Linked DNA regions of Arabidopsis thaliana. The protein of the gene in region 1 interacts with the protein of each later gene in a pairwise test. Each region holds a gene or a part of one and is shown on either strand. Other genes may lie near its edges.

The links.
Region 2: the proteins of RGS1 (region 1) and RER1 interact in a two-hybrid assay, tested with the Arabidopsis thaliana proteins (one large-scale study listed by BioGRID).
Region 3: the proteins of RGS1 (region 1) and B ALPHA interact in a two-hybrid assay, tested with the Arabidopsis thaliana proteins (one large-scale study listed by BioGRID).
Region 4: the proteins of RGS1 (region 1) and SUS4 interact in a two-hybrid assay, tested with the Arabidopsis thaliana proteins (one large-scale study listed by BioGRID).

The regions. Positions count from the first base shown.
Region 1 is NC_003074.8:9,530,643-9,536,144, forward strand, and holds RGS1 (REGULATOR OF G-PROTEIN SIGNALING 1), read left to right. Parts: upstream 1-1,970; 5' UTR 1,971-2,240; coding exon 2,241-2,320; intron 2,321-2,756; coding exon 2,757-2,877; intron 2,878-2,972; coding exon 2,973-3,036; intron 3,037-3,117; coding exon 3,118-3,202; intron 3,203-3,306; coding exon 3,307-3,380; intron 3,381-3,474; coding exon 3,475-3,755; intron 3,756-3,840; coding exon 3,841-4,079; intron 4,080-4,156; coding exon 4,157-4,281; intron 4,282-4,370; coding exon 4,371-4,492; coding exon of another isoform or gene 4,493-4,501; exon of another isoform or gene 4,502-4,517; intron 4,518-4,579; coding exon 4,580-4,768; 3' UTR 4,769-4,987; downstream 4,988-5,502. Other genes in the region: AT3G26085 (CAAX amino terminal protease family protein), read left to right, coding at 200-269, 360-742, 819-879, 975-1,099, 1,181-1,243, 1,328-1,452, 1,614-1,755.
Region 2 is NC_003076.8:7,598,573-7,604,169, forward strand, and holds RER1 (reticulata-related 1), read right to left. Parts: upstream 3,951-5,597; 5' UTR 3,002-3,950; coding exon 2,432-3,001; intron 2,357-2,431; coding exon 2,258-2,356; intron 2,172-2,257; coding exon 1,948-2,171; intron 1,814-1,947; coding exon 1,744-1,813; intron 1,660-1,743; coding exon 1,580-1,659; intron 1,470-1,579; coding exon 1,405-1,469; intron 1,017-1,404; coding exon 823-1,016; 3' UTR 509-822; downstream 1-508. Other genes in the region: AT5G22791 (F-box family protein), read right to left, coding at 5,007-5,597. UniProt on the Arabidopsis thaliana protein: May play a role in leaf development.
Region 3 is NC_003070.9:19,162,200-19,170,080, reverse strand, and holds the start of B ALPHA (protein phosphatase 2A 55 kDa regulatory subunit B alpha isoform), read right to left. Parts: upstream 6,007-7,881; 5' UTR 5,958-6,006; coding exon 5,849-5,957; exon of another isoform or gene 5,485-5,848; coding exon 5,391-5,484; exon of another isoform or gene 3,934-5,390; coding exon 3,752-3,933; intron 3,470-3,751; coding exon 3,348-3,469; intron 3,259-3,347; coding exon 3,163-3,258; intron 3,077-3,162; coding exon 2,957-3,076; intron 2,720-2,956; coding exon 2,513-2,719; intron 2,121-2,512; coding exon 2,029-2,120; intron 1,794-2,028; coding exon 1,675-1,793; intron 1,562-1,674; coding exon 1,438-1,561; intron 1,148-1,437; coding exon 1,024-1,147; intron 908-1,023; coding exon 839-907; intron 756-838; coding exon 664-755; intron 566-663; coding exon 488-565; intron 401-487; coding exon 333-400; intron 244-332; coding exon 107-243; 3' UTR 1-106. UniProt on the Arabidopsis thaliana protein: The B regulatory subunit may modulate substrate selectivity and catalytic activity, and may also direct the localization of the catalytic enzyme to a particular subcellular compartment.
Region 4 is NC_003074.8:15,178,495-15,185,815, reverse strand, and holds SUS4 (sucrose synthase 4), read left to right. Parts: upstream 1-1,710; 5' UTR 1,711-1,951; intron 1,952-3,151; exon of another isoform or gene 3,152-3,210; 5' UTR 3,211-3,238; coding exon 3,239-3,342; intron 3,343-3,438; coding exon 3,439-3,717; intron 3,718-3,798; coding exon 3,799-3,991; intron 3,992-4,073; coding exon 4,074-4,409; intron 4,410-4,492; coding exon 4,493-4,588; intron 4,589-4,659; coding exon 4,660-4,833; intron 4,834-4,924; coding exon 4,925-5,041; intron 5,042-5,127; coding exon 5,128-5,294; intron 5,295-5,391; coding exon 5,392-5,616; intron 5,617-5,701; coding exon 5,702-6,265; intron 6,266-6,343; coding exon 6,344-6,482; intron 6,483-6,579; coding exon 6,580-6,612; 3' UTR 6,613-6,806; downstream 6,807-7,321. Other genes in the region: AT3G43180 (RING/U-box superfamily protein), read right to left, coding at 6,879-6,946, 7,174-7,297. UniProt on the Arabidopsis thaliana protein: Sucrose-cleaving enzyme that provides UDP-glucose and fructose for various metabolic pathways.

The DNA.
Region 1 (5,502 bases):
AATAAAAATTTGGTTTCATTTCTTCTTCTTTCTTGGTGCGTTTTCTCTGATAAACGACGCCGTATGAAGCTGGCGAGACACAGACCTCTCATTTCGACGCTTTCTTCTTCGTGAAACTCTTCATTTGTTTTATATTGGAAACAGAGTCTCTCTTATGAATCAAAGCGACAAACTTTGAGAAGGCAGGCGAAAATCTCGGATGGGTTCCATCGCTCTGCAATCTTGGAGCAGAGGAGCTTCAACTTCTCTTCATCTCCTTTTTCGTCCAGGTAGGTAAGTGCGATTCCTAACTTGATATGATCATATATATGAGAATTCGACAAAGATTTTTGGTTGAAATTTGCTTACTTGATGATCAGTTGGCTCGAACCCTAAGCTATATGATGCTCGAAGAGTACAAGTAAGATTCTTTAATGTTGCCGCTTCTTGGTCCGAACAGATGATCTCTTATACTATAGTCTGTTTATTTTGTCTTTTGGGTTTTAAGTTTGATGTAAGAGCCTCTTCAAGTCGTAAATCACTTAAGAAACTCAAAAGAGAGTCACAACAAGGTAAAGACATAGGCTTAAGAAATGTTACAGATGAAGAAGTTTCTTCTCCAAGATTTGAGGAAGCTCAAGTTGATTCTTCAACTTCAAAGGACTCCATTGATGTTTTTGTTGCTGCTCCTCGAGACAAAGTGCTTCAGGCTTGCACTGTAACTTCCGGTTTGATGGCTGCACTAGGTCTGATCATCAGAAAGGTGAATCCCAAATCTGAAAGTTTATGATTTTGTGATTCTAGCATTTGTATCTTGCTGATTTGGTTACCGCTTGCAGGCGTCTCATGTTGCTTCGACTGAAGGATTACTGGTTCCAGACTGCTCTATAGATGTACCATGTAACATCTCGGAAAACGATTATGTTGTGTACTAAGAATCCTTTGAGAGATTCAGTAACCAAAACATGTTTTGTATTGCATGATCTTTCTTGCAGTTGGGTTTGAAACTTGGCATCTCGGTTTAATTGCTGGAATCGTTGTGTTTATATCGTCAAGTAGGTTCTTGCTACTTAAATCTTGGCCAGATTTTGCTGATTCTAGTGAAGCAGCAAACCGACAGGTCAAAACATTACACATTATATACATTTATACGATTCTTTAAACTCCGCTTATTGTCTCCTTTGGTATTCACTACTTGCAGATTCTCACTTCCCTCGAACCTCTAGATTACCTTGTTGTTGCAATGTTACCGGGAATAAGTGAGGTAACAATAAACAATCACAATAAAACACAGAAAGGCTCTCCTTTAGAAAATGTCGTTCATTGGTTTGATTTGGTGTATTCACAGGAGCTGCTGTTTAGAGGTGCATTAATGCCTTTGTTCGGAACTAATTGGAATGGTATTGTAGCGGTTGGCCTCATTTTCGGTTTACTTCATCTCGGGAGCGGAAGAAAGTATTCTTTTGCAGTTTGGTAAGCCGTTTTTACTGAACATTTTGGTACCTCAATGCTGATGAGAATTGCGTAGACCGAATCTTGATATTAGATGATTGCCTTTAACATGTTCTTGCATCTCTCTATCACATTTCCGAGGTTTTCCTATTGAATTCTTTGCGGTTTCTTGAAATTTTCAGGGCTTCGATTGTCGGTATAGTCTACGGTTATGCAGCTGTTTTGTCGTCGAGTCTTATCGTTCCAATGGCCTCGCACGCACTCAACAATTTGGTGGGAGGTCTGTTGTGGCGATATAGTTCCAAGATCAAGTCATTGGAGTGAAATAAACAAAATTTACAACAGGGTTGAATTAAAAAAGTATACAATTTTAATGGGTGGGTTTGTGAAATCTCTCAATAGTATAGGGTGGTTATGTCAAAAATCTATAATAGAGGGTGGTTATTGTAATTTTAATGTACCAACTTGTCACAAAGGACAAGTATGAAAAATCTATAATTATAGAAGTGAAAAGTGAAAAACCAATCAGAATTGTTACCGGAAAAAGGAAGTGTCTTCTGGTCAAAAAAGTCAGAGAAGAAGAGAGAAACGTGAACAATGAAGAGACAGAGACGTCTCTTCTCTTATGCGAAAGTGTGAATCTTTTAAAGCTTTTTGTTTCAACATCGATAAATGAAGTTTCTTTTATTGAATTTATAGAAATTTGCACACTTTACCTTGACATTAAAGCAACAAGCTTTGAAACCAAATAAAATCTCAAAAACCCAGAAAGCGAGTGGAGAAGAGAGAGCTGATATGCTACAATAGAAATGGCGAGTGGATGTGCTCTACATGGTGGTTGTCCCAGCGATTACGTCGCCGTCGCAATTTCAGTCATCTGCTTCTTCGTGTATGTGTTCGAGCTTAAAAATCCCATTTTTGGGTTTTAGTTTTGAAGATCTAGATTTTTCATTTACTGGGTTTGCTTGTTGACTCTTGACTTGAGTCAAAATCTCGAATTTTGTGTCTTTAATCGTTTAAAATTTTCATACGATGTCTCTCTTTGCTATTTTAACTCTTTGTATTGTAAGTGTTTGATGTTATGTATCAAAAGATCTGTCTTTTGTTTCGTTTCAGTTTCTTTTAGCTGGGAATTAGATGGTTTCAGTATCTTGATAGCAAGATTCATATATTATGTCGGAATCGATTATTGAACTTAGATTTGAAGTTCAAAAGCTTGATTTAATGGACTAATTGAGTGGATTTGTATCATGAGTTAACTTCCAAGTAGTTCAATTTCTCTATTAAGTTGATTCTATCTGATGGATTTCACTTTGTTTATTTAGGCTGTTATCGCGCTCAGTGTTACCGTGTTTGATTCATAAGGCTCCTCGTACTAACAGTAGCAGTTTCTGGATCCCTGTTATTCAAGTTATCTCCAGCTTCAACCTTCTCTTCTCAATTATGGTTAGACTACTTGACTTGATGATTCCGTTGCTCTTAAGAATCACTTCATTTGTTGAGTTTCTACACTAATAGACTGTTTTATATTTAATTTTCAGATGTCAGTTAATTTGCTTCGATTCAGGACGAAACATTGGTGGCGATATTGCTATCTTTGGGCAGGTTTGTTTGGAAACCATGATTCCTCATCTTCGTAAACAAATTGACAGTTATATCAATAAGTCTTGTATAATTTGGTTTCAGTGTGGATTGAAGGACCACTTGGGTTTGGTTTGTTGATGAGCTGCCGTATAACTCAGGCATTTCAACTATACTTCATATTTGTCAAGTGAGGTTCAATGTTGATCAAAATGTTTTTGGATTCCAATTCTATCTCTATTGGTGTAATTGAGTTTAATGCTGTTTGGTTGTTACATATTCTTTGCAATGTAGGAAACGTCTACCTCCGGTAAAATCATACATTTTCCTCCCCCTTGTTTTGTTGCCATGGATCTTCGGAGCTGCAAGTAAGAATTGTTCTGAACGTTATATGTACTGAGCAGTTCTTGGTTTCTCTTGTTTTGGATAATAATAACTCAAAGCTTTTGATTTTGCATTTAGTTATCCACGCAACAAAGCCTCTCAACGATAAATGCCACATGGGTCTTCAATGGACTTTCCCAGTTGCAGGCCTTCATGCTCTCTATGTCCTTGCTTTAATTGCATTCACAAGAGCAGTTCGACATGTAGAGTTTCGTTTTGACGAGCTTAGAGATCTCTGGAAAGGAATTCTCGTCTCAGCCACTTCAATCGTTATATGGGTAACAGCGTTTGTGTTGAATGAGATTCATGAAGAAATCTCTTGGCTTCAGGTTGCTTCAAGATTTGTGCTTTTAGTCACGGTATGAAAGCTAATACCAGGACTGTTCTTTATATTTGCAGTTGGAATACCTTTTTAACAGACTTCTGAGTTGATTCTTCTTTCAGGGTGGGATTCTCGTCGTTGTCTTCTTTTCCATCTCGAGTAACCAACCTCTTCTTTCACAAATCAGCTTGAAGAAAAGACAAAACTTTGAGTTTCAAAGAATGGGTCAAGCTCTAGGCATTCCCGATAGCGGATTATTATTTCGGAAGGAGGAGTTTCGACCTGTTGACCCAAACGAGCCACTCGATAAGCTTCTTCTCAATAAAAGATTTCGCCATTCGTTTATGGAATTTGCTGATAGGTACTCCATTCAATACCTGACCTCATATATATCCCGGTTTCACCATTTATTTAAACTAATTCGTTATATGCTGGTAGCTGCTACGCTGGAGAAACATTGCATTTTTTTGAAGAGGTGTATGAACATGGTAAAATCCCGGAAGATGATTCGATAAGAAGAATCTACATGGCTCGACATATCATGGAGAAGTTCATCGTCGCAGGTTAATTACATATCCATCTTCCCTCTTCTTTATAGACCTGTCTCGTGTGTTCTCTCTATAAATCTAACTAGTAATTCCTTAAAACACAGGAGCGGAAATGGAATTGAACTTATCTCATAAAACCCGACAAGAGATCTTAACCACTCAAGATCTAACTCACACTGATCTCTTCAAGAACGCATTAAACGAAGTCATGCAATTGATCAAGATGGTAAAATAACATCTCTCTTTCACTCTCTTACGCACGCCTTCAAGCTATTCTCTTGATTCTCATTTTTTTGTGCTCATGAATTTGAAGAACTTGGTAAGAGATTACTGGTCATCCATCTACTTCATCAAGTTCAAAGAAGAAGAAAGCTGCCACGAGGCAATGCATAAGGAAGGATACAGTTTTTCATCTCCAAGACTGAGTTCAGTTCAAGGCTCTGATGATCCTTTCTATCAAGAACATATGTCAAAGAGTTCCAGATGCAGTAGTCCCGGTTAAGGAGTCTAAAACTGGTACTAGACCAGAACCCAAACCAATGTTCATAGCAATCCAATCCATGTAATCTTCCTTCACATTTCTTGTACATGTCATTTTCTCTCTTGTTATACCTAACTGTAAGAGAAAATGTCCGGTTCGGATTTTGGTTTAGTTTTAAATGTGTATACCGGACAAAAACTATGGAACCATACTAATTAATATCTCGAAGAATTTATACGTATATGCCATCTGTTTCACCAAGAATAAAAAAGCACCTGCAGATTGATCTTCATGTCCTTGCAGAGTGATGATGTTGCATCACATGTTTCATGATGTGATGACATATCCATTGGCCTCGCTAAGGCTTTTCATCAACATTTTGACATAATGTTTTTTTCCACCACTATATTTTGACGTGTACAACATCTATAACGAGAAGGTGGGATGGTCATCAAATATTTCAATTTTAGAATATAATTTGTTACTGAAAAGAGAAAGTTGAAGAATTTTTTAGGTTTATCATATGATTAAATGATATTAAAAGTTTTAAATATCTATAAAATATAAAATTAAATATTGTTGAGCAGCAATAAAATGTCTTTAGGTAAGTTTTTAAAAAAAAAAATCATCTGTTACCATTTAAGCTCTAAATTATTCAGTAAAATTCTGCAAGAAATGTCAATTAAACCCTAAATTCAGTAACTTAGCCAGATTTATTCTGCTGTTAACATATAAAAATTAAATGTTCAAAAAAT
Region 2 (5,597 bases), on another chromosome or scaffold:
TTTGAACAGTCGTCAGCTTTTGATTACCATTTGGTATTCACATTAATTAATCTATAGGGCATATAATATAAATTGTTCAAATTAAGTAAAGGAGTATAAATAAAATATCATTAAGGGGCACAAAACAGAAACAAGAGAACAAAAGATGAGGATCATGCAGCAGTTGGATGACAGTGGTTACTAAGCTGTCACTCGCAAGATCCTCCATCTATCGAATGATGCCTTACCATCAAAGTATCCTAAGAATATTTTCCTTGCAAATAAATATCGAAAGATTTTTTTGTAATATACTCACTCATAGTTGCTTTAAATATTTTTATTTATTACTTTTAATATCTCCACCTACCAACAATTCTCCTTTTCCCCTTCTCACTTTTAACGGTGGGAAAAGTGAAAAAAAAAACACAGAAGAATGAATCAACGCAAACGTCAAAAATGACGTTTAGTTGACATAATTCGCCATTGTGATCATATTGTTATAAACTTTATAAAAACGCAGAGGCTAACGGCTGATAAAAAGTTTGAGTCATTATTGCAAGTATATGATTCAGAAAAATGAATAAGAGAGACAAGGATACCATGAGAAACTCAACTTCCAAAACCAAATTGAAAATGTTGTATCGAGTAGTATTCCGGTTAGAAGAATCCGGTCCGTATCATGAACCAGATTCTCTTTCTGTAGCTCTCGGTAAATAACCTAATCACACTAATGAAACTCAGATAACTAAACTTCCCCATCAGATTAGAGATACTCTCATACTCCTGAGGATTGACATCTAGGCTAGTTTACTATCCGGTTTGTAACAAAACCGAACCGGTTGATTACTGAACGCCGGACAATTTAGCCCAATCTACAAATTGCATACCGCCATACACATTGTTAGCAAACCGGACTCCCACCGTGAATGCCATAGCGACCACAGGGATACGTTTGGCCGCTGTAGAACCTTCCACGACGCGTTCGAGGCCGTTGATGATTTGGTAACGCGCATTGGAAGATAAGCCGAGGAACACACCTGAACAACAGCGCAATACAGAGAAGAGAGTGAATATATATGTATATGTAATCAACAATTCACAGAGTAAACTTCAGGGTTATCTCTGAGCTCAGCAACTAAATTACCCTCTCCATTGATCTAATATTGCTAACAACAGGACAATGTAGCTAATATCTTCACATAGAATTGTAAGCATAATCTATTCTTGGTATCATTGGCAATTCAGGTTCTTTCCTTTCTAAGAAACTAAGCCCGGTTAAGAAACCGATGGCTGATCACAAGAACTCGGAAAAAGAGTAGACAACACAATATCGACGGTTCAAGACTATCGTTTTCAGTGAACATCAGAGGGGAAAAGCATCGATGATTCTGTAGAACATAGTTAGAGATCAAAAGTAAAGCTTACCCCAGAGAGCAGCGCTTTCGAAAAGAGGTGGAATAGGGACGTCTTCCTCTGATTTCTTCACACTCCTATTAACAAAGGTAACCTCAAATTTCAGTGAAGAACAGTTTTTTAAACAGTCAGAAGATTCATTTCATCATTGAAAAGTAGCAAGATAAAGTCGATGGTGAAAGAATACCGTTTTGCTGTCATGATCAGATTTGCAATTCCCTGACCAATGAGGCCGCAGCCGAATCCAACCGACCCATACAAGAGGCCCTGGACCAAGAATCACATCAATTAATCAAACCAAAGGTAAGCAAGATCCACAAAGGACATTAAAGCAATAGTTCTTCTCCATACCTTGTAGAAGAATGTTGCAATCCGCTGGTTAACTGAGAATTTACAACCCGGTCTTTCTGCTTCAAAAACACTTCAGAAGTACAAAAAAAAAAGCATGTATAAGTACATCTCATCCCGAATACACAGCCACCAGCTCGATAGATATCAGTGGGAACAGTTAACACAAAAGTGAAAAAAACGAGAGAGATACAGTAACAGTATTACCTGCTAGGAAGGGATGCACAAGCACGTTTAAGATCCTTGAATAAACCTGTTGATGCCACAGACGGCTTCCCGATACGTGCATAAGGAGCCAAAAGTCCAACCAAGGCAACATCAACCACAAGACCAACTAAAAGATCAGCAGCATATAACTCAAACTCTGACCAGAAATCTTCCCCTCTCTTCTGTACTTCTGCAAAAGTTGCACAGCAAGAGTCTATGGCTACCTGCATTAAATCCGTAGAACAAGATCATTCAATTTCAATCCTAAATAACTAGTCCAAGAACAGCATTAGCTTATTCATTGACAAACCTCGGTTCCAACTTTGAAGAGAAATGAAGGATCTGCAAGCATTCTATTTCGAAGCATCGCACATGATCTCATCAGAAACCCAAGCGGCCAAACAGAACCCTACGAAAAAATTCAGACTCAAACATGAATCACCATCATACAAAAACAGAATCATTTTTTCTCAAAAGCAAAAACCTGTAGATCAAGGTAACGAAGAAGGAACAGTTTTCGAATCCCCACGGATTTAGCCGCTTCCAACATATCCTCCGGTAACGTAATCCCTCTACGTTCTGTCTCTTTCATAACTTCTTCAAACTTCAAAATCGGACCAAACTCCTTCTCCTCAGCTTTATCTGCTTCATCCTCTCCATCATCTCCTTCTCCATCTCCACCTCCTCCTCCTCCGTCTCCATTACCACCATTTCCACCACCGTCGTTGTTCCCATTCTCATCGCCGCCATCACCATCATCAAGTTCCGGCTCCAAATCGCTTAAAGTCTCATCTTTTACGCCACTATAAGCCCAATCCGGTATCGATCTACCGGATATTTCACCCGTAACCACATCCGATCCTACACATCGGTTTCTCAAATTCCGAGAAGACAAGTCCGAATTTAAATGGATCCGTCTAGATTCAACACCAGGGCTTCTACGGAAACAAACCGATCTAATTTCAAACCTTTGACTCACTCTGCATTGCTTTACACTATTGAACCCATCGTTGGAGAAACTTGAAATGTGGGAAATTTTTAGGGAAATAGACATTTGCCTCTTGGGTTTCTATGATCTGTGGATAGAAGATCAAATACCCAGATGCTTAAAAGCTTCAAATGTCTGGAATTTTGGAGTAAAGACGAAGATGACGGAGTTATGTATGTATGCGTTTGATCAGTTGGGTTTAAGGGTTTTGAACACAACACTCTTACCTTGATGGAGACGACCAACCAAGGAGGAGAGAATAATCATGTACGGTTCTGTCTACAGAAAGTTTAGCAAATGGCGGCACATAATTGGTTGAAAAGATTCAGTTAGACAAAAGTGAAGCTCTTCTCATTTTTTGTTCAGAGCCGGCCCAAATGGGGTAAAGCCAGCAGAAGTACCAAAAATCGCCCCCAACATTCGTTTCTTTTTGTTTGTCATCTAAGGATTGTGAGATATTTCTGTATCTGATCTTCAGAGTCAGTTTTCTCCACAAGATGATGAAATAAACTCTATGGTTCTAATCCCTTTTTCTAAGTGTTTGATATAGGTGAATCTTGCTTTAATCCTTGTGTATTTTTCTGGCAGTGTGTCCACTGAGGTGAAGTCAAAGCTGACGAGCTCATGAAGTCAAAACTTCAGAAAGAATGGTAGGCTAATTAATACTGAGGATGGATGTCTGATATTCCATTCCATGCTTTGTATGTTGGTTTGCAAGATTCGGAATTGATTGGTCCTGTTTTAAGACCAAAAGCATTGCCATCTTATAGATATCAAGCGGCTCTAATTTTGGATACTTTGAGGTTGATTCCAGAGTGGAGATTGATTATTGAAGATGCATCAGCAAATAGCAGTCCTTTGTAAAGGCCTTATTCGTTAAGGTGTTTAGTATAGGTGAAGAGTAGTTATGGTGCGTCTGTTTTATTGTTTCCAACCTGATGTTTGTTGTGGTCTCATCCTAATCAATATATATTTTCAGATGACAAAAAAAAACTCACAAACTGCAAGACAAAACTTTGCTAAAGCACTTTCAAAGATTAGTCTCATGAGGCTCTATAAAAATAGTATAGAACCAAAGCAAAATCTTTTAAACAAAAGAAAATATATATCTCCAAAGAAAGGAGAAGCTAAGAGCATCCACAATGGTAGGTTATTAGCAAAGGCTTTTAGTAATATTTTATGAATTGATTTTGAAAGTTTTGTTAAGAGTTTGGGTAAGAATTTTAAGTTTTGGCATGATCAATGGTAGTATATTAAGTTGAGGTTCTTAATTTTTCTAAAAAAAAACTTAATAAGAGTAAAGTGAGGAGAGTCAAGAAATGAACTTCATCTAAAAGAAAGGAACAAGACTGAAACTCACATTCTTGATAAACCAATTGAGGTTTCGAACATGAAACCATCTTTTAAGGGACCAAATCTTGTAGCGTTTCCACTTTCGATTACATCGTCCAACAAACAATCAGAATTCTCTGAAACTATACTATTTAGAATTACAATTTGTCATCTTAAGATACATATTTCTCTGAAACTAATACACAAAATCAAAGAGTCTGTAGACAGAATTCATTTAGGCATATCATCGAACACATGGTATGCAATATATAATAAGCTTTAAATCTTCAGTCAAAAGCTAATGAATCCATCATTGACTATATTACAAAAGCTAATGAATTGATAAAAAACACTTTCTGAATTCCAACTTCTACAATTTCAACATTGTTTACAAACGAAAATTACATAATTTTACCTATTAAAGGAGAAAATGCTTCGAAACTGAGAAGATGACGATGATGGAGAGGATTACGGAGAGAGACGATGGTAGTGGCCTCAAAACAACGCCGGTAACTATGAGTTCGATGAAGAATTGATGCTCGTGAGAGGAACAAAAGGGAAATAATGTTTTTTGTGTTTCATAAAAAAGAAAATACTACACCATTGACACGTCAACATCTTTTAGAAAGTAACAACCGCTCTTACATAAGAGCGCCTCTTGTAATAGAAAGCATTATTGATTTAATTTTATTCAATCAAAAAGCTAAGAACCACTCTAAAACCCCTCGTTGCGGATGGTCTAATGAAAGAAGATAATATTCTCAATGTGACCTGGAAAACACAACATTTCACGAGTACGCTTACCAATTCCATGGATACGTCTAAACTCATAATCCGCAATTCCATCAATCTCACATCTTCTAATACTCTCCCTAGTTATATCACAATAGTTAACAAAAAATGGCATATATGACTTTAACCTCGCAGGTGTGGAAACAATCATAACCTCGCCCGTATGAATCTTTCCGGTGCACAAAGATCTCTCTTTTTCAAACAAATCTCCCCACTCACTAGGCACATCACAAGTTATGATGCTTGACCATTCTTGTTTCTCAACATCTTGTAGAATATACATACCCATCTCAGTGTTACAGTAGGGGTCAAACGCTACACATGCTAATTTTCCTTGGTAATTTATAAGTGTTGAATAACATGAGATTGCATTAAAGTCTTCTGGTCCTTGAATGAACTCAATCTTCTCGGTTCTAACATCAAATCTAGCTATTTTTCTATACAAAACTCCATAGTGTATAGCACCATCTATGCAAATCCCACCTTTCATGTGGCGGTAAGGATCTTCTTCTTTGGTTATGTCAATCTTTCTCCACTC
Region 3 (7,881 bases), on another chromosome or scaffold:
ATATAGCAATCCCCATCAATCAAACCATACGGAACCAAGAAAAACAGAGTCTAGAGCAAGGAAATGCGCCTTTTCTGCTTCTTCTTCTTTTTTGCTGAGTATTGAGTTAAGCATAGTACATGTACAAGCTATTTGCAGCGGCGCAAGCAATTGAGTTCTCGTTTGGATGCCAAGCAAGATGCAGCAGCTTTGTTGTGTAATCAAGAGCATTAGTATTCCCATCGACTCCCGGACTCTCTGATCCTGTTTTACAAATTTCAGTATTTATTCTATTCATGCCAATTTTTTAATAATGCTTAAACGAGCGAGATGATAGAGAGAGAGATACCGACCTCTACTTACGACACGCGTTATACTGCTTAGTGCTCTGGATGGCCTCGACGGAATTGGGACATGTCTCCTATGATAAACCACAACACAAATTCCATTTCACCAAGAGAGAAAAAACAGAAGAGCACACTACTGTTAATGGCTTTACCAAGTTTACCTCATTGGGTTTCTGCTTGCTTCTAAGGTTGCCGTCTCAGTACTTCCGGGGGCAACACCAAACACACGGAACAGATTGCTGGAAAGTGTATGAAACCGAACAAATGATTTATACAAGGAATCATAGTCATTCGAAAATGCGAATAACAAAATAAGATGCTCTGCTTCTTGGCATACCTGTAAGAACCTGTAGCTGCTCGCAAGCCATTGCCACTTATACAACACTCGAACTTGTCAAAGATGGAATCATTTTCATATAAATCACAGAGCTGAAAATGACCACAAAGGGAATACCATTCAGCAAAGCACCAACTCGCCAAATGTATCTCTCTCAAAATATTAGGAAACTGACCTTTGGTTTCAAATATTCATGAACCTGGAAAGTTGCTACTGGACCTGCGTCCATGTTGATGTCCCATAACTGGCATGTAAAACATAACATGGGGTCAGTTTACCTTACACGAACAAATCGAAACCAGCCACTGATAACTTCGAGGGGATATCATATTGAATGATGAAAACAGTGAAAATATGGACCTTAAGTGTCATATAGTCACGGCTAAGTAGATATCTTCCTTCTTTTGCAAATTTGATGTCTGAGACTGAAGCAATTATCTCAGTAAAGAACGATTTAGGACCTGCTTGCTCTGGTTCCTCAAACCTGCAGAAACAAGCAATATTAGCCTTTGCTGCTACCACAGGTTATCAAATCCTACAAAAGAGTAATGTCATTAATTTGCTCTCATGCAGCTTTATCCATCTCAATATTAATTGAGTATTACATGGTATGATGCTATAAACTTATCTCTCATGTTGGAATAAAATGTTTAGCAATCAAATTTTGATGAAATAAAGAAGTAATTGAGATGATTATACAAGTTTTTAGATCCTCCTTTCAAGATATACTGGACTCTAAAAAAACTTAACATAATTGCCAGTCTCAAGACTTACAATTTTGAATGTGAATCACATAAAGCTGACTGGCGCAGATCAATCAGGCGAATTGAACCTTTCGAACTGCTATAGGCTAACATATTGCAATGGGTAGGATGAAATTCTGCTGATGTGATAACCTCTGCATGAACGAATATGGTCGTAAATTCGAAGGATATCGCATCCAATTGCATGATAAATGGGTACCGTATAAGAGAACATATTAGACTGAGATAACAGTAGACCAAGGCTTACCAGATAGATCTTCCATTTTCGCAGGCTTGACATCAACAATATTGAAACTTTGATTGCTAATTTCCAGATTCCAAAGATTAATTCGCAAATCATCAGCAGAAATAAATGTTTCGCCGTCGCTAATTATAAGAGAAAAATTATTAGGAGCAGAACATTATCAATGAAAGTATAGAACTCGAGCTAATATCAACAAGGTGTCCGTTTGGATAGGAACTTGAAAAGGTGCATTGATTATCTGGATAGACAATGATTTATCAGACGACTTATAGTGACATCATTGAATTTTTTGCGGACAAATAAAGCAGTTGCTAGTAAGAAGGAAGCAAGTTGAATTCCAATGGGTGAATAACCTACCTGTTATTTGAGATTGAATTAATATGATAATCATGAGCATGAGCATATACTCTTCGACATCTAGCCACAGGGCTCGACTCATGGCTAGTTACCTGTATATGTCAAATGAACTATTAGTCTACAAATGAGCAATATTAAGTAATATTGCATGACTTAAGAATCAATTCCTAATCAGTGGTAGTGAAGGCCATGGAATGGGAAAATGCACAAGTACGAAAAACACAAGTCCAGCACCAATGAACAGTAAATTTGAGCAAAGTGTATCATTTTTCTGGACGCATATACTACATGATATGATCTATATTACTTCGACTCAATTGGCGCCAATGCAAAACCCTGCATTTGAGTTTTAGCAATCACCCAGAAAGAGGTTAGATAAATGGTTGGCTCTATGATGCAGGTTTTACTTAAGTTAGTGCTGAAACAAGCATAAATATTTAGGAAGACACAGAGAATAAAGAAAACATATTGTTCAGGGTACAACTACCACTGGTAATCGCAGCGAAGAGATGCCTCCTGCTGGCAATGAGAAGTCATTACATAAGGAGTTGTTCACTTCAGATACTCCTCCATTCACAAGGCATGAGTTTGTAATGTTTGAATTGCTCGAGCTTGCAACGGTTCCGTTTCCTACAGTTCTTGAAGGATCTGAATTCATATCACAGATTTTCTTGATCTTCTTGTCTTGAACCTGTTAAGACTCTCACATAAGAAAAAGAGGAAAGAAACTCTGTACTAATTAAGGATGTAGAACCATTTAGATACACACCAAACAATGTCAACGCCAGAGAGTTCAAATTTCAACGTTCTAAAGATTGAATATGAAAGTATCAGCTTTACACCTTAAATATCCAGAAGCAAACAAAAACTTCCTATCTTAACAGTATGTCATTCAGAGGCAAACAAACGAAATAGATGAAGTTTTCACCTTCCAAAACTTGATGGTTTTATCATTGGTCGAGAGGAGAAAAAGAGCTCCATTTGCTGTTTGACACCATCTAATTTTGTTAATTTTCTCCTCTATCTCCAAACTCTTGAGGTAATCAAACTGGTAAACAAGGATAGAGCATGAAAAGACAGATAAAAGGTATAGCCAAATAGCTGAGTAAGAAGAAAACAGAGTAAATCAAATACCTCAGGGTCATGACTCTGAAACTCTGTTTTATAACGAAACTCTGGATGCCTCAGTGGATAATCAGCTTCTTCAAGCTCTCTTCTGGTTCCACTGCTCTGTAATCCACAGCATGCAACAACAACATATAACCAAAATGATCCAAATCCCATATCAGAAAAACGATTACAAGGTAAAGTGGACATACATTATTGGTATCGGTTCTCTCGAAAAGAACAACACGTCCTCCACGGTCCCCAGTAGCAAGATGGTTTCCAGAATTATCAAATTCAATCGCTGAGATTATATCAACTGCAGAGGAAACACCAGCTACAGTTTTTAAGAAATTTCAACTAAAATTCAGAATAACATCGATTCAGCAAAACGAAAAACGACTATTGAATCTAATTCAACTACAAAGCTTACAACTTTCAATTTACCCAGATACAAAGTAGACCAAAAATCAAAACTTTTTCATTGAATCGAACAATCAAAGAACACCCAATAGATCTAACATATCCAGATTCAAAAACCCCAATTCCGAATAGATCGAATAGTGAGCTGATGAAAATCAAAAGCACAGAGAGACAAAGTCAAAGAGAGATGTGTAACCTTCTTGAACTTCTTCACCAGCGCTTCGTTCACCGAAGACCTGAGAGAATCTCCATTCCAAAGGCAGAGATGGGTCTGCCGAAGCTGCGACGACCTCATCACCACCGTTCATTTCCCTCTCTCTCTCTCTGTCTCTCGCTCTCTCCGATTCACACACACTCCTCTCCTTGGGATAAGATAATCTAATTGATCCGACGATGAGGAATTAGCCGGATCGGGAAATCAGAGATTCTGATTAGGAGACAAACCGGATGGAGCTCGTCGCCGATAGATGATTGAAGCAAATCGATGAAGGAGGAGAAGAAGAAGAGTATCAGATGATTCCCAGATTTCGACAAACAAATAAAATCACACAACACTCTCTTTTTTTTTCTCTCTTTATTAAAAAAACAAAACTAAAAAATGTTAATATTATTTGGTATTAATTTTTTCTTATTTTTGGTTTTATCACTTTTTCTGGAATTAGTTCACAGCTTTTAATATATTACTAATTGTAAAAATTTAATGCAGGGAAATCTCATTTATTTTCAAACTTACATTTTTCTCTAAACGACTAATTTGAGATAAAAACAATATATTTCTTTTTTTTCACAGTGTTGAAATTTAGTGGATGTAGATTTTTTTCATTTTTAAGCTTTCTTTTTTTTTTTTGGATAAAGATATGTGTTCCTACATGTTGGAAAAAAGAGAAGAAAATATATACTGTAGTTCCTACTTCACAATATACATTTGTCTTTATCCATTTAAATTACAGTTTCACATGACAGTTTGTGTATATAAAGATCTCACTAGTAATGTAAGGGTCAAAACAAAAAGTGAGAGTTATGTCTTCTCTGGAAACTTAATAATATTTTGATTTTAAATATGAGTATTATAATTTTAAATAACGATATAATAAAATTAAACTTCATCATGAGAAAATAATAGTCATATCTGCTTAGCTGTAAATTGGCTTTTTTGGTTGTTGATATAATTCCACAAAGGAAGATAAAAAACAAGACCGTTTATTTTCGGTTAAGAAAGAAACAACTAACACTCTTCTTCGCTCTACTTTGATCACATATCACTAACTGTGATTCTATGAACACAGTTTAAAACAACGTCCGCCGGAATCTTAGGATCATATGGTACGCGATGGCGGAGCGAGAATGTGGATAACTGACCAAGAAGTCTCTCCAAAAACTATGGTGTAATCAAGCAAGGAAGATCACTAATTAGCTTAATTATATATCTTTCTATATCTCAATACCCTGAATCTCAATCATGATACGATTAAATGTTCATCGAATTTCGAATTTTTAATCTAATTTTACATTTGTTGTTTTAATCCCTAATGTGGTACTTAACGAGTAGCTATATAATTAGTGATCAACATAGAAAATGAAGGCTTCTACGAAGAAAAGAATGATGGTTCACTGAATCTCTTTAAGCTAGCCAGATGCAGCATAGATACAAAGCACAATTCTTGAGACTAGTAGATTAGTAGTGATTCACTTGTACTTACGTTCATTTTAACGTACAGTAGCAAATCTGCGAGAAAACCGTTGATTTTATTGTTATAGACTTGAAAACTATTTTATAGCTTGTGGATGTACATTGAACCTTCATTAACTCATGTTTGCCTTATGCAGAGGGATACTCCGTTTTTTTGCTCTCTTGTGCATTAAAACTGAACACAAAACATAGATTTTTCGCATTATTGTCCATCCACTGGTAGCAGTTTAGTTGCAGAGCTTTAAGGTAAGAATACAAACAGAGACTAATAAACTGTAATGATTTGAAGGACTATCAAAAATATAATAAAGGTGAAAAATCAGTATCTTGTAACAGTTTTGACTTTTGAACTATGATGCTTTACTTTAATTGGCCTTTTTCAGTGGTGGCTCGCTAGGTCAAGTGGCCTCTGTTGATGATTTCGTATACGATTAGGTGACTGATAACCGTTGCATATTTATGAAGATTGTTGCTGACTTTGTTTTTTTTATGAGTAGATAACATTTTTTACGTTCATAAAAGGTGAAACAAGGTTTTCGCAATGTGTTCGAGTTTAGTTGCAAGAAAATGAGATTTGAATTTATCAAGATTGAAAAGTGTTACCTGTCTCTTGAAAAATTCTTTTGCTGACTCCTAGAAGTGTTGCAGCTGAAGGTACTAACAAGCAAACAATCAGCAAAATAAACTTTATTTCTTCAATATTTTGATTCATTTTTCTGGTTAAGAAGACGAAGTAAGGTGGTTACACAGATAATGACACTAAACAATAGCACATAAGATTTGGATTATGAGAGGAGTTGAGAAGTTATATGATGGAAACTGAAAAGTAAATCTTTTTGCAGAGCTGTAGAATCAATCAACATTTGATGACTTGGACTTCTTCACCATGTGTGTTGGTGTGGACCATTGAATTGACGGTTTTGCCATTCACCAACAACAGCATGAGTTTTTGAGTCTTCATGTTTGGTAAAGGTTAGGCTTATTAGGAGACACGGGTAAGAGACTAGAGAGAGACATTCTCCAAACCTTTCTTTTGCATGTTTTGTAAGAAACATTTCCGAAAATGAAAGAAATCTTACACAACATTCATATAATTTGTTTGAAATATAACAAAATGATAATTTATACTCTCAAGTAAAATGCCTAAACTTTTATCAATTGGAAAAGACATCACACACAAGCGTGAAGCGTATCTTATTACCAAACCCAACTAAGCATGGGTCTCGATACTTGCCATAATTACTTTAATCCATTCTCTTTTTGAGAAATGTATAAAACATGACTTTGCATAAATAGTCTTTTACTAATTACTATGTAAATAATTCCTAAGACTGGTTTCATGGTACATATTATCGTTTTATCCTTGTTTTAAGAATATTCAGATGTTTGGTCTATGGAATATAGTCTATTCTTCATGTTTAAAACTATTATTTGATAAGAAAATATGTACTAATATGTTTTTGCATACAAATGTTGATCAGTTCGTAGCATTTGAATTAATACATTCTCAATCACTTTCAAGCATTATTATGTAATAAATGATTCATGTCGAAAAGTAATAGTATCACTGTCCATTACATTTGGCATATATATTTTTTTGTCAAAGCCTTACATTTGGCATATTGACGAAGCAGTTTTGTATTCACTTATATTTTGACATCGCTTTCACAAAAATAAATAGCTATATATGATTATTATCCATTAATTGTCTCTTTTCTTTTGCTGACACAATTGGTTGTAAATGCAATGCCAATATCCATAGCATTTGTGTGGTGAATCTTTTTCTAAGCCTAATAGTAAATAAATCTCAATACAAGAACCCATTTACGAACAAATCAAACCAAGTTGTGATGGGTTAGTACTTAGTAGCCCGTTTGAAATGTAGAATTTTTGATGAGATTTTACGTTTTATATAGATTTTTCTCAGAAAACAAAAAATTCTTGCATCTTGCATTTTGGTCATTTGTAAATATTTTTTTAGTCTTAAAAAAGACCCAAATTCTTATTAATTTCAAAATTTTCGGTCTCTAATACCTCCGGTTTTAAAAAAAAACATATCAGTTGAAGGATGAGTTTGGTGAAGGCTATATTGTCCATTGATTTTGGAGATATATGTATTATGGTCATGATTATTACGATTTTTATATAAAAGAATATTAAAAATGGTGGGGTTGGTGAAGAAATGAAGATTTATCGTCAAATATTTCAATTTTTACTTGGACTATTGCTTCGGTTATATCGTCAACATGGGCCCACTCTTCCACCAAAGCCCAATCAATATATCTCTCGCTATCTTCACCAACCCACTCTTCTTCTCTTACCAAACCCATTTCCTTTATTTCCAACCCTACCCCTTTATTTCTCAAGCTTTACACTTTTAGCCCATAACTTTCTTTTTATCCAAATGGATTTGACTGGTCTCCAAAGTTGAATTAAATGGTTGTAGAAATAAAATAAAATTATACGGGTTCAATTGTTCAATTGTTCATATACCGTTGACGTTCAATTGTTCATATACGGGTTCCGTGGTCGTTGGTAATATATATGTCTTTTATGGAACCAAAATAGACCAAATCAACAACAAATGAAGAAATTGTTAGAGTATGATACACTCATATATACCCAAATATAGCATA
Region 4 (7,321 bases), 5.6 Mb from region 1:
CATCATTGCTGCTTGTTGACTTTTGTGTCCCACGTCTATCCATGGAGTAAGCAAATATATTTTATCTTAATAAGTATATAGAGAACAATATGCTCTACTAGTTTGTTTAAGAATGTTTCAGTTGGAGACTTTTTAATATATGTAAGCTCAGAAGTTGATCTCTAAAGACATGTTTACATGGGATGATTCATTTGTTATATGTACCACCAGTTGAGCATTTCAGCTCCTAATCTTGAATTGTGTGTTTTAGCTTTTAGTTTTGTCCGATAAAATGTCTTGTCGTTAAAGCTTAAAGCAGAACAGAAATGCAAATATTTCTGAACATGTATTGTTTTACTATACTTAGCTTCAATTGCATAATCCAAGAATTTTTAATTTTGCTGTTCTACTATTCTTAGCTGCAACTGTTGTAAAGATATACTTTGGTAATTTCCAAAAGATCAGTTGCATTTTCTTAAATTTCAAAAGCATAGGCAAGTACATAAATATCAAAAGAACTGGAAAAATTTGTAAATGTCATAGGATTTAGGGTAAATGTATAAATACCAAAGACACTTGGGACAATTTCATAAATATCTAAATACCTAGAGCAATTTGTTGAATACTTAGGAATCTGGTCTGATTTCTAAATTTCATAAACACCTAAAGATGGGTGCGATTTCGCATTTTAAATAGTTGACGTATGAGCCGAAAACTCGTTGCATGCAAGTATTCATCTAATAACATTTCTATAATTAGAAACCACAACAAAATTAAAAATAATAATAATAGGCCAATTTTTTTTCTTTTGTCCAAAGACCTGATTTGGGTCGTGTATGACACTGTATCTCTCCGATATTTAAGTCAGAGCTGATTTAGATAAATCTCCTCCTATTAGTTCGGTATTAGGTGAAATGGTCTGAGCGAATTCTTGCCCGGATTACTTATATCCGAGTATAATACTGACATCTTCGTCAGTTTAGATCTCTTTGAGAAATATCAAAACAAGTAACACGCTCTTCTGATCTTTGTGATATAGGACGAATTTTATAAATATATACCTTGAAGCCAACACAGAAATATCACAATATAGATTTTTTTTCTTGTTTTTCTACTGATTACCATTTCAAGTTCTTCAACAAAAGTCTCTTGAGACGTCACACACAGGAGTGACAAGTATACGTGGTAACTTTTTTTTTTTTTTTTGGACAAATATACGTGGTAACTAAAACTATGTAAGTCCAGGAATTTAAAATTTCAAGTGTATCCAACAATTGTGTATATATTAAACATTTTAAACCTACCACTATGTTTCTTCAACAAAGCCCTTCACGGCCCCACTGCCCATACACACAAACAAGTGACAAGCAATTTTGAATCCATTTGATTAAATTTAATATCTTAAGCAAATTAAAATAACAAAGAAAACAAAAACTAGCTTGCTCGTGGTAGTCTTGAAACCGTTGTTTTGTATGCCCATAGTTTACTGATGTTATTTTCTTTGGTTACTTTACTTATTAGTTTATTGACAAATTTGACATTATGATTACAATAGTGAAGCTTGGTTAATTAAATTACTTTATTGACATAATTATTATATATAAAATAATGAAGAAATTGTATGTTTTACACGCAGTACTCGATAACCAATAGAATTCTTTTTCTGTGGATCAGTATTGAGTATTGACCCGTGGGTATTGACCAACTACTTACAATTATTATAACTTAAAACAAAATTGTATCTCTCTAAACAAAGCATAATTAGTATTAAAGAAAACCAAGTTGTCGAAGAGAAGAGAGACTAGTATAAAATGATCCAACAAAGCTATTCAAATTCTTCACACTTCACTACTTATCATTTCTCTTCTTCATACTTTTCTCAAAATTTGCAATAGCTCCCTCCATCTTTCGCTTCATTCACTACATATTTCTAGTGACCTCCTTCGCCAGTGACTTTCCGTAGCAATTTAAGGTAATCTATTCTTGTAATGTATTATAATGAGAGGTTATAAGGTTTCAATGATTAGTTTAGTTTATGAAAATTTTTAATGCTCTGAATGTTTATGACATGCTAAACATTAGAACCTTCAAATATTTTTAGTTGAGTATGGTTAAAAAAGGTTTCACTGCTAATTAATTGATTTTTTTTTGGAAAAGTAAATCAATGGATTTTTGATTTCATTTTTTTTTATCTAGCAACACTAAAAATAGAATTATATACTCGGACATTTTTCCGACACATGTAACATCGCTTAGCCTAAACTAAACTATTTAACTTTTTGTTGATTGGTGGTAAGAGGAAATTAAAAGCTTTTTAGAGGGAATATGCTTTGAAAGATTCTTTAATAGTGTCATTTACTTTAGGATAAGAATAAAATTAGCATTGTCGTAAAAAGCATGCAACAAACACATTATAAACTTTTCTTCTTCTAAGAAAATAATTCAATTTAACAATTTAAGTTATTCGCTAATATATATATATATATATTTTACAAAATTTTCAGCTAACAAATCATGTTTTCATTTTTTTGTTTTTGTTAAATATGATAATCTTTCAATATATTTACTTTAGCTACTTTACGTTCCACAAAATATAAAATATTTCTTTTAATCAACAATAGATGTAAGATTTGATACCAAAAAATTTCTTGTTCATCAAGACAAATTAATGATTTATTTATATTTATTAATTAATATTAATTTTTCTTGATCTATGTGATAAAATAAAAAAGATCTTTTTTATTTTAGATATTTTAGAATGATTCAGAAAATAAAACCAATAGCGTATATTCTGTTCTACTCGTCTTCTAATTTTGAAAATAATATTTTCACAGAGAATTTTCCAGCTATATGTCGAAATCTTTTGTATTTTTTTTTGCTATAAAAGAAAATTCGTTGAATTACTTTAATTCATGGTTTGATTTATCTTTTCCTCCATTACTTATTTGAGAAGCCATAAACACCGCTGCTTTGAAATGGATACTGGATGCAAAATGTTTAAAGAAACTTAAATTGGACAGAATAAAGATGATTCTTTCAATATTTTATGTTGGAAAATATATATAATCAATTAATCATCTAACTTTAAAAAGTTAAGATAATTTTTGTATGATGGAATTTAACTAACTTTTTTCATAAGTCATAATCAATTTTTCCTTATATAGGCAAGCATTTTGAATTAACCTCTCTCCATTATCTTACTACATTTCTTCATCTTCTTATTCTCTGCAGTTTCAAAAGCTTTGTGATTGTGTTTGAAATGGCAAACGCAGAACGTGTAATAACGCGAGTCCACAGCCAGCGAGAGCGTTTGGATGCAACTCTTGTTGCTCAGAAAAATGAAGTATTTGCTTTGCTCTCAAGGTATTACAACACAACAACACTTTAAACTAACTAACTTGTCTTGTAAGATTACCTACAAAAAAAACCTAAATACTCTGTTTCTTTCTCCTTTTTTAGGGTTGAAGCCAAAGGCAAAGGCATTCTACAACACCACCAGATCATTGCTGAATTTGAGGCAATGCCTTTAGAGACACAGAAGAAGCTTAAAGGTGGAGCTTTCTTCGAATTTCTCCGATCAGCTCAAGAGGCAATTGTGTTACCACCATTTGTTGCTTTAGCTGTGAGACCAAGACCTGGAGTTTGGGAATACGTAAGAGTTAACCTCCATGATCTTGTCGTTGAGGAGCTTCAAGCTTCTGAATATCTTCAATTCAAGGAAGAGCTCGTCGATGGAATGTACGTTTTTCACCTCTTTATATCTTGTCTCTCTCTCTCTTGTTGCCCTTTTACTCAACTAATGTCATGACTATATCGCAGTAAGAATGGAAACTTCACTCTTGAACTTGACTTTGAACCATTCAACGCGGCATTCCCTCGTCCTACGCTCAACAAGTACATTGGAGATGGCGTTGAGTTCCTCAACCGCCATCTCTCGGCTAAGCTCTTCCATGACAAGGAGAGCTTGCATCCGCTGCTCAAGTTCCTCCGCCTCCATTCCCACGAGGGAAAGGTTTGATCACAAGCCACTCTCCTCTCCATTTGTTGTCTCAATAACAAAAGTCTAACATCGCTTTGTCTTTGCATCTGTGTAGACTCTGATGCTTAACAATAGGATCCAGAACCTAAACACCCTACAACACAATCTGAGAAAAGCAGAGGAATATCTAATGGAGCTGAAGCCTGAGACACTCTACTCAGAGTTTGAGCACAAGTTCCAGGAGATTGGTCTTGAGAGAGGCTGGGGAGACACCGCGGAGCGTGTTCTTAACATGATCCGTCTTCTTCTTGACCTTCTCGAGGCACCTGACCCTTGTACTCTTGAGAATTTCCTTGGAAGAATCCCAATGGTTTTCAACGTTGTGATCCTCTCTCCTCATGGATACTTTGCTCAGGACAATGTTCTTGGTTACCCTGACACAGGTGGTCAGGTCAGTAATGAAACATTTTGAAGATTTCTTCTTCTTTCTTCATTCCTTGATCGATCTTTAATCTCGTATATATATTCTTGAAGGTTGTTTACATTCTTGATCAAGTTCGTGCTCTCGAAACAGAGATGCTCCAACGCATCAAACAACAAGGACTCAACATCACTCCGAGAATCCTAATCGTAAGCTTATAGTGATTCTTCTTGTGTGTGTATGCAAAGATGTCTAAAACTGTTCTCTTATGTTTTCACAGATCACTCGGCTGCTTCCTGACGCAGCAGGAACCACTTGTGGTCAACGTCTAGAGAAAGTGTACGGATCTCAGTATTGTGATATCCTCCGTGTGCCTTTTAGAACAGAGAAAGGAATCGTTCGCAAATGGATATCAAGGTTTGAGGTCTGGCCGTATCTAGAGACTTTTACCGAGGTATAAATCCATTTTCTTCATGCAAAAACATGGATCTTGTTCACCCTTATTTGACTCAAATATATGAATAATGTGCCTTGTTTTTTCACAGGATGTTGCCGCTGAAATCTCGAAAGAGTTGCAGGGGAAGCCTGACTTGATCATTGGAAACTACAGTGATGGTAATCTTGTTGCATCCTTGTTAGCACACAAACTTGGTGTCACTCAGGTTTGTCTCTTGTTTCTATCCATAGCCATTGAGAAATATGTTGTCTTGCTCTAAAGCTAAGAATCTTTTGATTTATTATTACACAGTGCACCATCGCTCATGCTTTGGAGAAGACTAAGTACCCGGATTCTGATATCTACTGGAAGAAGCTCGACGAGAAGTATCACTTTTCTTGCCAGTTCACGGCTGATCTTATCGCCATGAACCACACAGATTTCATCATCACAAGTACTTTCCAAGAAATTGCTGGAAGGTAAAGAGAGAAGACTTGAGTCTCAAGAAAACAAGAATTTTCTACAATTTCCATTGGTTTAACGTTTGAGTTAAAAGCAACCTCTTTTCTTTTATAGCAAGGACACTGTTGGTCAATATGAGAGCCACAGATCTTTCACACTTCCCGGGTTGTACCGTGTAGTTCACGGTATTGATGTGTTTGATCCAAAGTTCAACATTGTCTCTCCTGGAGCAGATATGAGCATCTACTTCGCTTACACCGAGGAGAAGCGTAGATTAACTGCATTCCATCTAGAGATCGAGGAGCTCCTCTATAGTGATGTTGAAAACGAAGAGCACTTGTAAGCCTTTTATATGACTAATCTTGATCTTTAAATATGTCACGAAAAAAAACCTAACATTATTTATGCTTATACTTGAAAACAGATGTGTGCTTAAGGACAAGAAGAAGCCAATAATTTTCACCATGGCTAGGCTTGACCGTGTAAAGAACTTATCAGGTCTTGTTGAGTGGTACGGTAAGAACACTCGCTTGCGCGAACTGGTGAACTTGGTGGTTGTGGGTGGAGACAGGAGGAAAGAGTCACAGGACAACGAAGAGAAGGCCGAGATGAAGAAAATGTATGAACTGATAGAGGAATACAAACTCAACGGGCAATTCCGATGGATCTCTTCACAGATGAACAGAGTGAGAAACGGTGAGCTTTACCGTTACATATGTGACACTAAAGGTGCATTTGTGCAGCCTGCTCTTTATGAAGCCTTTGGGTTGACTGTTGTTGAGGCTATGACCTGTGGGTTACCGACTTTCGCTACTTGTAATGGCGGTCCTGCTGAGATCATTGTGCATGGAAAATCTGGTTTCCACATTGATCCATATCATGGTGACAAGGCAGCTGAGAGTCTTGCTGATTTCTTCACCAAGTGTAAGCATGACCCATCTCACTGGGATCAGATCTCATTGGGAGGACTTGAGAGGATCCAGGAGAAGTAAGTATAAAACTATAAGTGTGTTCTTCTTTTTTATAGTTTGAATGTTTTTAACAATCTTGTCGTGGGGTTTTGTAGATATACTTGGCAAATATACTCACAGAGGCTCTTGACATTGACTGGTGTCTACGGCTTTTGGAAACATGTCTCGAACCTTGACCGTCTTGAGAGTCGTCGATACCTTGAGATGTTCTACGCACTGAAGTACCGCCCACTGGTATACACTCTCTCTTCTTACCACACTTTATTAGACCCTTCTTAGTGTTGTTGTCTCTGGTGCAGTAATATCTCAAAGTCTCTTATTTCTCTTGTAGGCTCAAGCTGTTCCTCTTGCTCATGAAGAGTGAAAGAAGAAGATTTTCTACATTCTACAACAATAAAGATCTCTCTTTGTTATTTCACTCGTCATATTTTTCTTTCTTTTTTATGATATGCTTCACCATTGTTTTTTAAACTATTGATAATGTTTAATTATTAGTATTCAACATGAACAATGTAAAAAAAACTGATTACTAAACTACTTTAAGTCTAGCGTTAACCATAAAACATAGATCAATTATTAAAACGGCAATAACAACTAAGATAAAAGTACCGATTGCTGCTCGGCGTGCTGCTAAGCGGTGAGTGCAACCTCCTTGCTTCCATTCGGCACCACATGTGTAGCAAAACGAATAGCCACACCTATTCATCAACCATGCATAAACATTATAACAATGTTATTAATTGCGAGAGAAACATAATCAAATTTGTTTTAAAGAGCTAGAGAATGTAATGAAAATCTGCAAGTTAATTTGATGCATCCTTCCGAACGTTCGATCATGTGTTTGCAATTTCCACATTGACGCCACAATTTCTGATTTGCTAAAAATTTTAGCTTCATATCATTTGCACTAGGATTTGAACCCAACCTCTTGTAATCACCGCATGACAAGTCACTATGCCATGGAACTTTGCAGTTGATGCAAAAGGGTTCACCGCATTTGACACAACATCTCCTAACTTGAGTGTCTTGAGTAGAAGATATATAGAGCTCTGTTACCGACATTAAAGCCGAGC